Linked DNA regions of Macaca fascicularis. The protein of the gene in region 1 purifies or fractionates together with the protein of each later gene. This does not show direct contact. Links are inferred from orthologs where the notes say so. Each region holds a gene or a part of one and is shown on either strand. Other genes may lie near its edges. The genes, in order: CNOT7 and TNKS1BP1.

The links.
Region 2: the proteins of CNOT7 (region 1) and TNKS1BP1 purify together in Homo sapiens (affinity purification with mass spectrometry; 4 studies listed by BioGRID and IntAct, counting the BioPlex papers as one, with this or other methods). This does not show direct contact. The link is inferred for Macaca fascicularis from reciprocal best matches to the Homo sapiens genes CNOT7 and TNKS1BP1.

The regions. Positions count from the first base shown.
Region 1 is NC_088382.1:20,246,350-20,255,172, forward strand, and holds the end of CNOT7 (CCR4-NOT transcription complex subunit 7), read right to left. Parts: intron 7,988-8,823; coding exon 7,843-7,987; intron 5,668-7,842; coding exon 5,557-5,667; intron 4,002-5,556; coding exon 3,873-4,001; 3' UTR 2,334-3,872; downstream 1-2,333. UniProt on the Homo sapiens protein: Has 3'-5' poly(A) exoribonuclease activity for synthetic poly(A) RNA substrate. Its function seems to be partially redundant with that of CNOT8.
Region 2 is NC_088388.1:16,304,370-16,313,192, reverse strand, and holds part of TNKS1BP1 (182 kDa tankyrase-1-binding protein), read right to left. Parts: intron 8,734-8,823; coding exon 7,372-8,733; intron 6,332-7,371; exon of another isoform or gene 6,205-6,331; coding exon of another isoform or gene 6,079-6,204; intron 5,404-6,078; coding exon 3,242-5,403; intron 1-3,241.

The DNA.
Region 1 (8,823 bases):
AAAAAACAGTGTTTGAGGATGGTTCTTCTCACTCAGAAAAATTTCAATGTCAGCCAAGAACCCAAAAAATAAAAATAAATCTTTAGCACTGCTAAGCCACTGAATGCCTGTGTGGCAAATCAAATCAGGATATTCAGTTTCTGTTTCTCACAAAAAATTTATGGAACTGAAGATGGTTAGGTCCACAAGAGCAAATGAAGTTCACTGTTGACCAGTTCAATAACACCAATATTTCCTGCAAACTACCTGCTGATGCATAATCAAGTGAAGAGCTATAGGCTTTAAACAACTTACATTTTCACAAGCTTTATAAATTTGACCAAATAAACTTTTTTCCTGCTCCATGCATTTTTTTCCCAGCATCAGTTGCATCACATCTTAGTAGATTCCACTTCAGGTCGTACTGTTTCTCAACTTTTTTGAAAATATTCCCACTTGTAGTTCCATAAATTCTTCAGTCACTTCAAATCCAGCAATGGTTTCTCATAAAATAAAGCTAGGCAGTACTGACTAGTAAGAGGCAAAGAATTAATGGTATCATTTGATGTTGTGTCCAAAATCCTCATTCTTCAAACGACTGTTATCAAAAGGCTGATATCTTAATTTTCTCTGGACACATTTCTTTGGGTTGGTTAGTCTTCAAGCATGATATAATTCAGCATTAGTAAATGGTTTTCTTTGCTTGGCTAACAAATTGGCCACTTGTAAACATTTTGGTTGCAGCCTCATTTTTATTTTGTGAAATTCTATGATGTTTCATTTAAATTTTCTAATTCTTCTGACTCTTGTTTTCCACGAGTTGGGAATATTGTGATGTTTGTTAGTCTGATACTGTCAATCTTCTTTTACCAGTTACAGTGTCATTGCATTATAAACGTAACATACCACTATATAATAAAATAGTCCATATTCTAGTGTGCCTTGAAAACATATCAAAGTGTACTTTTCTTGTTCTGAGATACAGGGCATGAACTGGTAGCAGAAAAAGTAACAAATCTAGCAATACACAGGGCATTCTAAATGCTTTCAGGTTATATCTGCATCACCATGATTCTGTAGCTTGCCAAGCAGCAATGTGAAACAAGACAGACTTAAACAGGTTCTGTAGCAGCTACTCAACTTTTCCATTATAGCAAAAAAGTATCCATAGATAATATGTAAATGATTGTGGCTGCATTCCTATAAAAACTTATAGACACTAAAAATTGAATTTCATGTAATTGTCTGATGTCAGGAAATAATCTTTTGAATATTTTTCCCAACCACTTAAAACTAAAAGCCATTTTCAGTTCATGGGCCACACAAAAACAGGCAGCAAGCTGATTCTGGCTGCGGGCCATAGTTTGACAACCCTTGCTCTAGTAGACTTAACAGACTGTATGAGTCTGTAATTAATGGTTCAGGAACACTAAAAAAATTATCCAAATATCTTACATCTAAAACCTAGACTCTACAAACATTCAGACTGTCTGGAACAAAATAAAGTAAAGCTTAGACCCAGTAAAAGTCAAAATGTTCCTCTACAGAAGTTATAAAATACTATACAGGTACTCAACCTACAATGAGGTTACATCTGAAAAAATACTAACATTCATTTAATGCAGACAACAGCATACAGTCCCCCAATTTACAATGGTTCAACTTACAAACTTTGACTTTGCGATGGTGCAAAAGCAATACACATTCAGTAGAAACTGTAACCCCATCATAGGTCCTAAGGAGCTCCTAAACTTTTGATGGGGTTACAATACACCCACTGTAAAGTTGAAAAATCATTAAGTTGAAAGATAGTTAAGTTAGGGATTATCTATACTTTTTAGGGACAGAGCCAGAACTGATACAAGTTATGAGATTGAGCAACGATGTGGCTACTAAAAAGGTTTCACATTGATTTCTCAAAGAATAGGTAACTATAAATGTTAGTTTTCTCAATAAAAACTAACACTGAAATCACAAGCGAAAAGAAGTTTCACTTCCTTTTTAGCAAAGACAAAATGAAAAGCAGCCAGTCAGAAACTTGCTACATTGTGTTAGATTTTTTAAAGAGCCACAGTTACACCAGATGTATTTCCTTTTAAGTATATCCTTATGAATAAATGCATTCCTGGAAAGGAGAAATAGAAATCCTTACTTAGCTAGTTGAGGTACTCATAAAGAACAAGAATAAGCCAACACTTGAAATGCAGAAAACTCAGACTGATTTTTCAATTAATGGACTAATAATCATCTAGGGTTAATGAAGGAAGTTACTGAATTCTGTTGAGTTGCCCAAATAAAAATGAACAATATCCCCCAAATGAGTATTTCCAAAACAAAATCACCAGTCATCAACATTTATAAGAAAACATTTTGAAGCCTTTATTTACAAAAGCTTTAAAAACAAATAATACCCTCTGTTTTGCAAATAATGTTTTGTTTAAAAAGGACCACCCAGTTACAGCACTGTAATATCATGAATAAAGAATGTACAAGGGAGACAAACCAATGTGACTAACATTTGAAGATTTGCTAATATTACTGATTGAAGTGTAGGTAACACACATTATAACTTGTAGTCCATCATTTCAGGGTACAGTTAATGATTACCAAAGTCTTCCTACACATGCTCTGGTCTGGTCACATATTCTGCATGGCTAAATATTTCACAGTCTCTTTTGTCAATATATATAAAATAGATTGCAAAGATATACACAAAAAAATAAACAAGCATTACACTCCTCAGGTAATTTTATTAGCTATATATATATATGAGAATATATATATATATATAATTTGTTGTTTTGTACCAAATCTCTCCATTATTTACCTTTGTAGCAACTATGAAAGCGCAATTTTTGTCTTCTAATTTAATCTGGTACAAAATATACCTAAAGACTTGTTATCTTTGGATTTTAATAAAATTGATTTGTGTAACCAACAAATCAAAAGCATCATAAGTATGGCTACAAAATAAAATTTTAAAAAAAGACAAGGGTAAATGGTGATGGAATAAAAATAAGCAGATCAAGGGAAGTGTGCTATCATAAAATAACTGTAGCTTCAACATCTTGAGTACCAGTTTCCTGGCAGATACTAAACATCCAATCACAAGGGATTTTTCCTGAAGGGTGTAAAGCTGGTTTGAAAATTCTTCAGTCACAGAGCAGCCTACACATGCCAATTAGAAACTGACAGACACTAGATGTGCTTGGAAGATTAAACACTACGTACAGAAACAGCAGTTACTAAGCTCCTCAGTAGTTTCTTGTCCTTTTTTTTTTAGTTTCGCTGAATCGACAGTTTGCACAATGAATATGCTATATTCTGTGAGTCAAAACCAAGTAAATACTGTGTCAAGGTGGCAGATGGTCATTTTTCCAGCTAAGATCAAGAAAAAACAAAATTTTTGATAAAACAGAGGTTTTGAGTCAGAAACGCTCTCTAAAGTGCAAAACTGATGGTCCACAATCTCAAATAGCTAAAACTCCTGCAGAATGGAAGAGAGAGACATGAAACAGGGAAATAAATTACAGTCAGTGCTAGTCAATTTAGGAAAAGGGAAAAATAAACCAAACTCAAGTAGGTAAAGTTTATCAAAATATTCAGTGATGTAGCTTTCCCCACTCTCTGTCACACACGCTTGCTAACAAGTATATTAAATTAAGGCCAAATTTAACCTGAATGAGTTTTTGTTTTGGTTTTTTGTTTTGTTTTGTTTTTTATTAAGATCTGAGATAGGAACGGTCATACTTAGTAGTGAAAGGTAGACAATAAAATGGGCCATGAAAGGGGGGGGGAAAGGTACTGTCTATTGTTCAAGGGATTCAACCAGAGATAAAACCTATATACAAGCATGTGTGTAGCTCAAAATAAAATAAAAAGACTATTTCATGTCATGACTGCTTGTTGGCTTCCTCTTCATATGCATTCCCTGTGCCATTCTGTACATAGGATGAACCAGAACCAAGGCCATACAAATGACCACAATATTTGGCATCATCAATATGATCTTCAAAGAACATCTAAAAAGGAATTTTGAAGAAAAAAAAAGATAATTTTAACCAAAGGGAACCACTTGTAATTTATATTTCAGCAATGTAAGTACTGACTGTTCACTGAGATAATGATGGCTCTTTTCTATGGTGTTCCTTTGAGGCTACACATTTCAGTTCAATGAGTAAAACTAATGTCCTCAAAAGTACAGAGCTCAGAAACCAAAGTAAGAGACTATGAAAAAAATGTACAAATGCATGTCTTTTCCATTTAGACCATTTTTATAAGAATTTGTCATCGTGGATAAATAAATATTTATTCCATTAATTAACAATACTCGAGTAAGAATGAAGAAAGCCAATGATGGTGGGGAAAAAAAAGTTTAGGTTCATAAGCTGTCTTAAATCTACAGGCAAGGCTGAGCTGGCTATAAATAAACTGTAAAGTCATGGACAGTAAAATCCAAACATTCACACTCTATTACTTTACTGTCATTGAAGAAGCCAAGAAAAATAAAAATAAATTAGTGCCAGAAATCCACCTTTAGTTAAATAAACCATTAAGACATTTTTAAAATGCAAAGCTAAAAAATCTAAAAGGTTATTTCAATTATCTAATGAAACAATGGGAAGGACTCCAAAACAAAATGTTTACGTGTCATGAATGGATAGTCCAAATCACTTCTGAATCAACACTACTTAGCAAAACAGCTTTAATGCTTTCTATTATCAATACATTGCTCCAAAAAGTTTTTAAATTCTCAGTCTCAGTCAATTCTTTCATGTCTAAGAGAAAATATACTCAAATCCACAGAGAATTTTTGCAAAAAGGAAAACTTAGAGCCAAGAAAAACCTCACTTGTTTTTGCACAATTTTCCTGTTTACCTATAGCTAGGTGTATCTGTGCATATCACTTAATTACTTAAGAGTGAATAATGGGTTCATTAAGTTCCATTCTTCCATACCTAACATGCCTTTTGCCATTTAAGGAGGGTTTTCCTAATGGGGTTTCTGATTCAACTAGGACGTTGGATTTATTTTATCCCTTCAGAATTCAACTCCCCTCTTAAGACTCAATCCAGTAAAAAGCCTGAGTCCTTCTCTATAAAATCTTCAAAGCACTGAAGAATGACATGAGCAAATAACATATTTATCACCAATTTAAAGCCTAAAAGAGGGCCATGCTAGAAGAAACCTAATACAAAGATTCCTTGCCTTGTAGAAGCAGCACCAATGGGAGTTAGAACTCCGGAGTTTTCCCACTAGTAATGTGTTTGATCATGGAAGTTATTAGCCTGTTTTCTCACCTGAGAAATAATATGGTTGGACCTACATGATTTCTCAGGTAGTTTATGTTTTAAAATTTTTGGTTCTATGATGAACATGTTCTCCCAGTTCCTTCTGAACTACATTTCAAGATGACTTATTTTTGAATACTTTTAAGTGTAGTGGATGTGACTCATATGGTATCTCTAAATATATCTTTACTTAGTAGGTACTTGTTGCCCAAAATCTTTGGCCATAAGATTTTTAATGTTCTCAACCTAACAACCAACTGAGAAAAAGGCAGTGATGTCTTCATACTTCTCTCATTTTGAAAAAGGCCATTCCTGTGAGCAATGAATCAGATCCTGCCTGATGTTGTGGTCCTATCCGTTCCAGCTCTAACTGTTCTGCCACCTCCTGTAATCCACCCTAGAAGAAATAAAAATTGCTTGTCAAAGAGGAAAATACTGCAACGCCTACTTTCACAAATTACAAACTTAGACACTGACCAAAATAAAAATAAACTTTAGTATGTAAAGGTGAATTTTATAAAGATTGGGGGGAAGAAACAGAGAATGTGAATTACTAATGTATTTGTTGAATGTGGAAACAGTATCATTTAATAGAAAACAAGATCCTAATTGGGAAAATGTATCTTCATTATGTTTCAAGGTGTATGACAAGTAAATAACTTTCCTAGATATGGGAGGGAAGCAGACCATATATAGGGTAATATTTATCAAGTACACTCATGGTCTATCAATCCTGTAATAATTGTAAAACTGCATAGCTAGTATAACACCATTGTTTCCATATTTTCTTAAACTTCCCACCATCCATTTGTAGTTTTCACTTAATTTTTACAAAACAAAGCCATTATGAATAACCAAATCATTAAGAATATGCTAAATGCTTAACTATGGTTTTGTTTGTTAAGATGCGTATATGCACACAACTCCTTAGAGTGGTCTGCTATAATGCACCTATGTTAATACTGCTAAGATTAAAAAAGAAAGATGAGAGTGAAAAGAAAGGAAGGGAAAGACAGTAACAGAAGGAAAGAAAGTGGGAGGAGAGGGAAGGAGAGTAAAGGGAGGGGAGAATGAGGATAGAGAGTGAAGTAAAGAAACACCAACAACAAAACAAAAATTCTTCTCTAAATTGTTAAGGCCTCCACCAGCAAAATGGCCCTTCTGTGCATCACAGCTTGAAACAATGCTTTACACAGCAGTTGCTTCTGTGCTAAAAATAGCACGAGGATTAGGTATCATTAGCAGCTGCTCAGGAGAACACAGAATAGAACTGAATAGAACAGCATGGCTGACTATAGGTCAAAAAGCACCTTTGTTGTTAACCTGAATTTTAACATAGCAGCTTACTCAGGACACATTGAGAATATCTGTACTTAGAAACTTCCCAGTAACAACCACGTAACGAGCAATAATTTGGTCCCCTGTTCCTGAAAACTGTCATTATACAGACATGTCAATAAAAAAAAAAAGTCAAGTGAAAACATGTAGGCCTCAGCATGCAGTGTGCTTTCACAGGGTGGACTGTTTCTCAAGTAAGGGACACCCTACTGCAAGTTCACTTACTGGAAGTCCCCTCAAATTACACAGAAGTCTACTGCTACAAACATAAACTAACCTTTCTTGAAAATTTCTCTAGTCATATGCTGACCATATCCCTTGTTAAAGGTAAACACTGGCCAAAAGAAAGCTTCTCATCTTATCTGTTAAGACCAGTGTAACCAACGTGGTGAAACCCTATCTCTACTAAAAATACAATAATTAGCTGGGCGTGGTCATGGGCAGTTGTAATTCCAGCTACACAGGAGGCTGAGGCAGGAGAATCACTTGAACCTAGGAGGCAGAGGTTGCAGTGAGCTGAGATCACCCCACTGCACTCCAGCCTGGGTGACAGAGCGAGACTCCATCTCAAAAACAAAAAAATTAATGTTTAGAGTTTAAAAATACACATTATGCAGCGTCAGACTGTTACTACTATCTAGGCAGGACCTACACATTTCCCATCATACTTAACTGTAAGAAGCTGACATCTTTTGGCCAGAAAAAGAACCTTTTAGCTATGTAGTTTTATCCTAGGAACATTATCCTATCACTAGAACTGACACAATAATTTCTAGCCAAGATAAGCCAAAAGGAAAGAAAAACTCTTTTGCCACATTACTGAATACATCTGCACATCTCTGGCCACCTTAGATTCTATCTTGTAAGAAGATATTCTATGCGTGCTGGGAGAAAGAAAGAACTCACACTGGTGTGCATATGAGAGCCTCACTGTCCTCTGATGTTTGTTTTTGTTTGTGATTTTCAATCTGGCAAGCAATGACAAGAATCTGACCTAAGCTAGAAATCTGTTGAATATTCTGCCTTCTGCCAAGACATACTGAAGCTCTGAAAAAACAATTCCCTATAAATTACCATGTATGCAAGAAAAAAAAATCACATGACCAGATAATATAATTGCATTTAATGTAATACTGTAAAATATGGTTTAAAACAACATCCCAGCCTAGGCTCTCATGACAGTCCCTTGGTCTGAACAGCATGCTGCTATAGATAATGCCACCTGAAGCCTTACTTTGAGATTTTTGCAGCTCTTCATGAGGTACTTCACATCATAAATTACAGGAAAAAACAATCGAAGGATCTCAAAGAAGTCAAGTTCTTCTTCAGGCAAGTTAGAGTTGGTTAGGATTTTGATTAAGTAGCCAAAGTCGTAACCACTATAAAAGGGTTAAAAGAATAGAGAAGAGGGACACATAAATACCATAAAGATTAAAAAAAAAAAAGTTTATCTGATTCAAATTTAAGCAAGTCACACTATAGTCCTTCCAAAAACATTAAAGAGAAGTGCACACAAGAACAGAGAAAACAAACATTGAGAACTATAATGGGAAAATGCTGTCATTTTACAGTATTAAGAACTTTATCACTTTATTATTCAGAGATATCAACACAGATCTACACTATCAAACCAAGCCTGTGGTCACGAAAATACTAGTTTGTTGATATTTGAATTGAGAACACCAAAAGAGCATCAAGCTGCCCATAGATGTCTCAAAATACTTTTTTAAATAACTATGGAAATGGAGAAATAAAGATGTATGGAAACTTGGCCAGAGGAGTTAGCAAATGTAGCAAGACAACTGGCATTCGATAGGCAAAAGTAATGCAAGACATCCCATCTTTTTCATAAGGTGGTCATATATATTATCCAAAGAATAAGACTGTAACAAGGTATTTTCACTTCTCTTAAATGACTATGTTATTAAGTAGTCTCTCCCTCTCTTCCGTCACAATTCTCTTCCTCTCAGTGTGGCTCCCTAAGAGTCATTATTAATGGAAATGTTGCACATGGAAGAAGTGAAGGGTAGTAAAAAAATAACTACTCTCCTCATCATAAAATGCAAACTCCTACATTCTCAAATCCAGACCTCTTCTCCCTTTGGCCTTTTTTCACAGCTTTCTGTCTCCCTACACTTCCAGGCCACGTAGACACATCCATCCCTCGTCTACTTTTCCTTACAGGACCTCTGACAGGAAGCCTATAAGGCATCTG
Region 2 (8,823 bases), on another chromosome or scaffold:
AAGAGGGGTAGTTAGGAACACAGGGGCTGAGTCCTGCCCCTCCAGGACACAGCTAGGCTCTGTCTCCTCCTACGCCTGTGGCTTTGACCACAAGTTACTTGTCCCACTCTGAACCTCAGTTTCTTTATCTGTAAAATGGGGGTAATAAAAGTACATGAACTGTTCCAGTTTGTTGGCAGAAATACGTGCCTAACACATAGTTAGCACTTGATAAATACAACAATTAGGATAGTCATTATCATCAACACAGGTCCCTGGCCAGAGAGGATGTGCCTCATCTTGTCGCATCTACACCCTTCACCTGATCTAAACTTTAGAGTACCCTGAGGACCAAGACCGTATCCCACCCCACCCTCCACCACCGTTCCAGAGGCAAACATGGTGCTGGAACTACAAAACGTGAATATCCCAGTGTTTTGAAGCCTGAAATGAGGGAGGAGTGAAGCTGGAAAGATTTGTCTAGAGAAACAGCAGCTGACCTTGACCCCAAAGAGACAGGGAGGATGGCCACAGAGGACTGCAAGGCTTGGGCCCAGGGGGACAAGAAAAACCCACAGCCACCAGCCGCGGGAACTGGTGCCAGCCACACTGCCTCTCTGCGTCTCAGTTTCCCTAGTTTTTGTGAGGACTAATCAACAAAGCCCCGTGAGTACTGGGTGTAAGTTACTCCCAACTTACATATGAGGAATCGGAGGCCTGCAGAAGAGAACAAACTTGCCCAAGGTCACAGAGGTGGTGACAGAATCAGAGCGCAAGCCTGGCAGATGGACCTAAAGCCAGACCCCTCTGAGCTATTCTCAAGGACTTCTCATTACAAAGGGAACCTCCAAAATTTTCTTTAAAGACAAAGTGCCCATAGTGGGCCAGGCATGGTGGCTCATTCCTGTAATCCCAGCACTTTGGGAGGCCGAGGTGGGCAGATCACATGAGGTCTAGAGTTCAAGACCAGCCTGGCCAACATGGTGAAACCCTGTCTCTGCTAAAAATACAAAAATTAGCCAGGCGTGGTGATGTATGCCTGTAATCCCAGCTACTCAGGAGGCTGAGGCAGGAGAATCACTTAAACCCAGATGGCAGAGGTTGCAGTGAGCCGAGATCGCACCATTGCACTTCAGGCTGGGAGCCTGGGCGACGACAGACCGAGACTCCATCAAAAAAAAAAAAGAGAAAGTGCCCATAGTGTAGAATTTCCCTACATCAGAATTTCCCTGCTCAGAACACTAGGCTCTTGGATATTAGCCAAATTAGTTTGGAAAATAGTGCATTACTTGTCTTTAAGGTACTAATATATGCTAATATACAGACTAAGTCTTCTGTATGGCCATAGAGTACCCAGCATTTTCCAAACATATTCACAGACTGGTATTTTTTAGGACACATTTCAGAAAAGGCTGCCCGAAAGCATAAAATTCAAACAAGCCCCTGGAACTCCTCTCTAAAGCAACTGTTTCCATTCGGCTTTTGAGGAGCCGCGCTTTCTGTTGCATACAATGAGGCTCACCTGTATGGCACCACGGCTAACCCCTGAACTCGGGTTAAAGTCAACACTGACCAGATTATGGTAACACAACCACAAAAGCCTGGGTGCTTTAAAGGCACAATGAGACCAAAGCTCGGAGAGCTGAGTGCTTCCCTGCTTCTCCAACGCTACCCTCCTCTTCCCCTAACCTAGTTCCACCACAATCCCGGCCCCACCTCCCTCTATCCTAAACTAAGGGAACAAGATGATCACTTTCCACTTCTCAAGAGCCACCCCACACAGAAGGGAAAGGCAGAGAGCTGTGGGTCCCACAGCGGCCACACCTGAAAGCAGTTAACATAAGCAAGTGAGAAAGAGGTACTCCCGACTCTTTGCCCTTAAGGTGTCATACCACCTTTCCACCTGCCAGCGGAGAGGATAAAAATCCCTTTCCTGCCTCACAGAGCAGCTGGGAAGATCAATGAGGTAAGATGTGTGGTTAAGCATGGGGCGTGCAAAGGTCTATGAGTCCCAGGAAGAGAAATCAGGAATAACCACGCCAAGCCTGGACTCTCCCCTGCACCAGGAACATTAAAGTTGGAACTCTGCACTTTCTGAGTCAAACCCTGAGAAACTGAGGCTCAGAGCCCAGCAACCTGCCCAGGACCACAAGGGCCTCCCGACTCCTAGTCCTGCACCCTCCCCTCTTCCTTGCAGTCCTCAATGCAGCCTCAGTGGTTCCCTGTGCTCCATCACCACCCCCTCAACAGCCTGAGTCGTCAGGAAGCTCCCCTTCCTCAAACCCCCCTGGGCATCTCCCTGGGCCCACCTTCCTCTCTCCCTCCTTCTCCTCCATCCCAAATGCCTCTCTGACTCCCCAAGACCACCATGATGCTCTCTAGCCCCTTCCTGCTCCTCTCCTCCCATCACCAACCCCTTCCACTTATAAAAGCCCCCACCCCCACACTTCCCTTGCCTTCCCCACATACCCAGTGAGACGCTCCCACTGTGGGCTGGAAAAGGAAACATGTGCTACTCACTGAAGGGAATAAAAGCGAATCTCAATGGATGCAAATGTTAACAAAACGGATGCAATGCCTTTTTAGCACCTTTCTCAGCTGCAAAATCATCTCAGCTGGTTTTAAAACATCCATGAAACAGATTGTGGTTGGCTTGCAAAGCCTTTGGAAAGTTCTTTCAGCAACTTTGCACATAGAGGCCAAAGTCATGGGGCCAGGTCCCCATACCCTTCAGGTTCTTGAACGTGCTATTCCAGGCTTCATGACAGGCAAGAAGCACAAAGTCCCTAACCTCTTTGAGAACCCGTGGGTGCCACTGTCCACTCCACTCCTGGCTGTGGTGGCCCCAGCCAAGAAGAGACAGAATTCTCTGCCCTACACCTATGAAACCACCTGTGGCTTCAGGGCTGAGGGGCCTGCGGAACGGCTACTGTGTACAAGAGTAGAACCCACCAGAAACCATCCAAGCTATGACACGCACCATTTCCCCATCACAGTCACAATTCTAAATCACCAAGAAAGCTCAAACATGGGTTGCAAAAGTAACACATTAGTCATCCTTCCCAAAAAGAACTCACCTGTATGTGTATCGTATTTCAATTTTTTAAGTAGAATTAAAAATTCTTAGTCTAAAATGTCTCAATCTTCCAAACACTAAAAGTCCTCAGGAAAAACTGTTTCTTCCCTCCTCAGAAAGGTTCCAATTTCTTGGATAACCCTCACATGTTCCCTCCCACACTTGGGAGGGGGCTCCGTTCGTTACCTGGCTCCGAAGCTGAGGGCTTCTCCTGTCTCCATTCCACGGTCTGCAGGGTGTGGCTCCAAGGAACACGAGGAGTCATCTTCACCCTGGGTCTCTGGCCCACTTGTCTCACCAACCCCCAGCTCCCTGGCCTCCAAGGGGTCTCTGGCCTCCAGGCCAGGGGACAAGCTGCCATTGTGCCTCAGGCTGGGCTCTGGGCACTGGCTGACCCCGCCCACCCCATGCTCCCTGGCTTCACTCGGAGTCCCAAAGAGCTCCACATTCCGGGGAGCCAAGTCCCGGGTCCAGTCCATCTGCCCCACCCCACATCCCCGTAGCCCCTGAGAACCTCCAGACTCTGGGTCACAGGACACCTCCAAATCCCTCAGGCCCAGATTGTTACCCCAGTCCATCTGGCCCACCCCAAGCTCTTTGTGCTCTCCAGGACTGCAGACTGCCCCTGGGGCCATGTTTCTCAGCCCGAGGTCAGGTGTCCAGTCTGCCTGTCCAACTCCACGCTCCCTTGATTTAAGGAACTCTCCGGCCTCCACACCTGACCAGTCGGTCTGCCCCACGCCACTCTCTCTGGCCTGGCTGTGGCCTCCTCCTTTCCCGACCTCAGTCAAATCTTTGCTCTTCACATTCACATCAGAAGTCCAGTCCTTCTCCCCAGCTCCAATTCCCCCGGGCTCTTCAGACCCTCCACTTTCCAAACAGCCGGCCAGGTTCATGTCTCTCAAGCTCAGGCCGCCTGACCAGCCCATCTGTCCCACGGCATCCTCCCTGGCCTCACTTGAGCCCCCGGAACCCACACAGCTGGATACTTCCAAGTTCCTGAGACCCAGCTGGTCAGTCCAGTCCACCGAGCCAGCTGTGGTCTTCCCAGGAGGCACAAAGTGACCACCTCCCATCTTGCTAGAAGGGCTAAAGCCAGCACCACTCACTCTGTCGTTGCCAATGATGCCAAACTGATAGCTCCTCTCACTGGCCTCGAGGCAGAAGTCCGGGCTCCAGTCCTGCTGCCCTGGGCTAAATGCTGCCTCTCTCCGGGGGCCAACACTGAGGCTAAACTCACCGACCCAGCCTCGCTTCCCCATCTCCCCATCTTCCAGGCCAGCACTGCCAGGGCCCTGAGCCCCTGCCTGCTGTCTCTCCTGATGCCCTCCCACCTCCCGGCTAGCATCACTGTTTTGCCAGCTGCTCTGGTCTCTCTGCCCGAGTGCCCCATCCGGCACGTGGGCAGTGCTAGGACTGAACAAGCCCCCTGATTCTCTCTGTCCTGGCCGGCCAGCATCCCTGCTGCCCTCTCCAAGGTTGTCTTCCACACTTGGAATCTTCTTCTCAAATTCCTCATCCTGTTGCTGGGCTTCCTCGGGGCTGAACCCAGAGCTCAAGGGTCTTGTTCCAAAGCCTCTTTCCTGGGCGTCAAGGGTCCTGGAGCTGCCACCACTGCTGTAGTCCCTTATCCAAGCGCTCTTCCCAAACTCCTGTTCCTGCGGCTCTGCATCCCGGCTGCCATAGGTGCCAAGTGACACATCTCTCTTCTGAAACTCCCAGTCCTGCTCATCGGCATCCTGGCTGCTGTACCTGCCATGGTGGTCCCTCTTCCCCAAATTTTGACCCTGCTCGTTGGCATCTTGGCTGGCATAAGCACCCAGAGAATCTCTTTTCCCAAATTCCCAGTCCCCAAGGCTTACATCTCGACTACTGTAAGTACCCAGTGAATCTCTCTTCCCAAATTCCTGGTCCTGGAGTTCCGCATCCCGGCTGGAGTAAGTGCCCTGGGAATCCCTCTTTCTGAACTCCCAGTCCTGAACATCTGCCTCCTGGCTCCGCTGAGTGCCAAGCTGGGCTGGCTTTCCAACTACCCGGTCCTGGGCTGTGAGCACCCCTGGGGCAGACACTTCACTCTGGTCTTGGCTGCTGCTGGCCTCCATCTCCTCCTGGCCGATGCCACACCTGCTGGCCCACTCCCTGGTGCTCCCTTCCCCAGCTCCTTGCCCATACTTGCTGGTCCAGTCCCTCTCTCCGAGACCTGGGTCTCCTCTAGGGCTTGCACCCCCAAGGCCATAGTCCTGAGAAGCACCTTGACACCAGTTGGAAGGACTGAAACTGCTGGGCTGTGGGTCTCCTGTGATCCCAAATTCACTCTGCAGATCTTTCTGGGACCAGCCAAGGAGTCCCTGGGAATAAGAAAAAAAACAGACAAAGAAACAACGATTAGATTCAATCGGGGTGGGAGTCAATCCAGCAGAGTCAGCACTGCCTAGTGCCTGAAAGCCCCACTTTGGCCACAGAAAGCTGTGTGACCTTGAGCAAATAACTTAACCACTCGGGGCCTCAGCGTCCTCATCCTTAAATGAAGATAATTCCTACTGCGTGGGGCCGGTGTGAGAGGATTAAACGAAATCATTCAGACCAAGCACTCGGCATAATGCCTGGCATGCAGTGGGCACTCAATCGATGGTCCCATGGTCATGTTTACAACCCTTGGGCAATACTCGGCTAACAGCCAGGAGTGGTCTTCACACAGGAATGGCGGGCAACGTACTTTCCTTTTGATTAGGAGAGGTCAAGATTCAAAGCCTCTCTGCAACCTCCCTTGCAAGGCAAGGTTCCAACACCAGTGAGAGCTTTTCCAGCCCATCCTCCCCCACGCCCCACCTGACCCCCATCCTCCTGTAAGTACCCAGCCCCTTCGTCCCCAGCCAAAGTGCCGTCTGCTCAATCCTCCCCAGGAAGACCTCTCAGCCCTCACCTCGGCCCAGGAAAGACAGGAGGGGCAGCTTCTCGCACAGGGGAAAATCCCAGCCAGGGCTTCTTGCACCCCAACCCCCACCTCACGCTCCCTGACTCACCCTCGTGGGCGGGAGAGCCCTGGGCTCAGGGCTTCGGAGCCGGCCAGCCTCATCCCTCAGCGCAGCGTTGGCCAGTAGCCGCTCCAGGACAGACATGCTGGCCTCCCCGTCCCCAGGCTGGGCCATGGCCCTCCGCCCCCCGCCCGCCTCGGGGCTACTGGGTGCGGCCAGCCGGGCGCAGGGATAGGGCTGGGCTGCTCCCCACGCTGGGACCTGTCCGACGGCTCTGGCAGCGCTGGCTCTCCCTCACCCTGGCCCTGCTCCCTTCGGAGCAGCTGCAGCTTGGGCAGCCCCGCCCAGGAGCCAGTTGAGTCACCCACATCCCGGGACAGACACACCTACTGCAGGAGTCAGCTTAACCCCTTCCTGCTCCTCCTCCTCCCCGCCCCCTAGCCTCCAGAGGCCCCCTGGCTCCTCCTTTCCTGCAGCCCCGCCCCTTACAGCCCAGGCCCGGCTTGAGAAATAAATTTCAAAAGCCACCTGGCCCCCGGCCCTTAAATTCAGAGGCAGCCTGGTAGGAGAAAGGGCACTGGGCCGGGAAACGGCGCTGGCCCGGGCCCAGCCACCAACTTGCTGGGTAACTGCACAAGGCTCGCCTCCTCTGAGGCCCAGCTGCCTGTCTACAAAGCAGGTCTGGAGCTCAATGTTAATAACGTTTGTAAAAGCCAACACGTATTAAGCACTTAGGATGAACCAGGCACTATTCTTAGCACTTTAGACATTACAGCTCATTGAACCCTTGCCAACACCCTTGGAGGTAGAGCTCATCTTATCCGCATTTTACAGATGTGGAAACTGAGGCAGAGGGCAGAAACGTCACTCTTTCAAGGTCACACCTGGGCAAAGGAAAGCAGAGCCAGGAGACCAACCCAGGAGCCCACGCTCTAAATGGCTACACTATTTTGCCTTGAACAATATTCCCATAATGAGAGACTGAATACTCAGCACCTGCCACACACTGTACTGAGAGCTTTCCCCCTCTTGTTTACCCACAATATAACTCTAAGAGGCCGGCGCTACTATCATGAAAGCACTCTGAAGCTTAGCAGTTAAGGCACATTCTTCCCAAGACCAATCAGCTAGCGAATGCTGAAGCTGGGATACAGCCTCACACGAAACCCCACACACCGTCCTGTGCGGTTCTGCAGAGCTACGATCTGCAGGTCCACAGCTGCCTTGCTTGCTACCACAGCCCAAGCTCTCAACACGTAAAATCCATGTTCAAAGAATGAAGCCCACCCAAGCCCTGGCCTCTGTCCCCAGAAGTCCCACTCTCCCTATGCCCCTTCTCACCTCAGAGCAGGTACTTGGGGACTGTGCGTCCTTCAGCTCAGATCCAGCTCCCCGTCTTGCACCGCCACCACTAGGTGGTGGTGAAGCCAGGAGGTCGTCCAGCCAGCGGGAGCTGCTTTCAGGGCCCGGAGGCTCGGGGGATGCCCTACACAAGTCTTGAGCCTCTGTCCTGGGTTGGGTGGTCTCGGCCCGGGCTAGGGTCACGGCCTCCTCCTCGATAGGCAGTGCCTGCCCAGGCTCAGGGGTATCAGCAAAGAGAACACAGGGCTGGTCAGGGGGTGCTGGCTGCTCCTGCCCCAGGACCGGCTCCAGGATGGGCAGAGCTGCCTCCCTGGTAGCCAGGGGGAGAGGGGACTCCTGTCCAGCCAAGGGCTCCTGCGACTCGTATCTCTCCTCTGCCTGCTGCAAAGGTAACCCAGGTGAGCCCTCAGTTGTAGGTAGGGGCTCAAGGGGAACAGCTGGGAATTGAGGTTGACTCTCCCCATCGCCCTTCTCGGGGAGGGACATGCTTGGATCATCCCCTTGCACCCAGGAACTAGGCCTTCCTGACCCACTTGGAGCTGACCCGGCCCCTTGCCCCTGCTGAGACACTCCTTCTTCCCTGCTGGAAACAGCCAAGTTGCCAGCCTCAGCAGCCTCAGCAGCCTCACTGGCTTCAGTGATGGGGGAGGGAGGCGGGGAGTCCAGCCGCCACACGCCCAGACCCGAGGGCCGCGTGGGGAAGGTCCATTCGAAGGACTGTGATAAGCTCCAGTTGGACTCTGCTCCAAAGGGACGATCCAGGGCCAACTGGCTCCCCTGGCCTTGGGGCAGGGCAGCCAGCGAGCCCCCCAGCTTCTCCTGGTCCTGGCTGGGTGACTGGAGCACACCTTCAGAGAATCGGCGCTGAACCAGGCTGGTGGGGCGGAGGTGTGCGTCACCCTTGGCCTCCTCCTCCCCGCCAGATGGAAACGTCCGAGTGAGATCAAGCAACTCACCCACCTCGATCAGGGGCCGGGGCGAGGTGGCAGGGGGCTGATCCAGGCTGTGGGGCTCCGAGACCTCAGGGGGAGGGCTGCTGGGTCTGGGGGCCTCTGGAGCCCCCTCAGCAGGGAGCCCGGGGCTGGGGGTGTGGTGGGAGCCCTCCTCAGGCAGGGCTGCACTTGGAGCTGATGGAGTCACAGCGGGGCAAGGAGAAGCCTGGGAAGCATCAGGACTCTGGGCTTCCAGAAGCTGCAAGTGGCAGGGAGAACTCTTATCGGGTGAGTGAAGATGGGGAGAGCCAGGGCCTGAGCCTGAGGCTTCTGCGGGGAGGCCTGGGCTGGCAGGGCCTCCATTCTCTGAGGAAGGGGCTGGACTTGAGGGAATCCAGGGCTTGGAAATCTGCAAGAGAAAGGTCAAGAGCCGTCACTCACCTCTCAGTGGGGCGGGCAGGGTCCCCTCCAACCCCACACAGACCCCAGGTCAACTTCT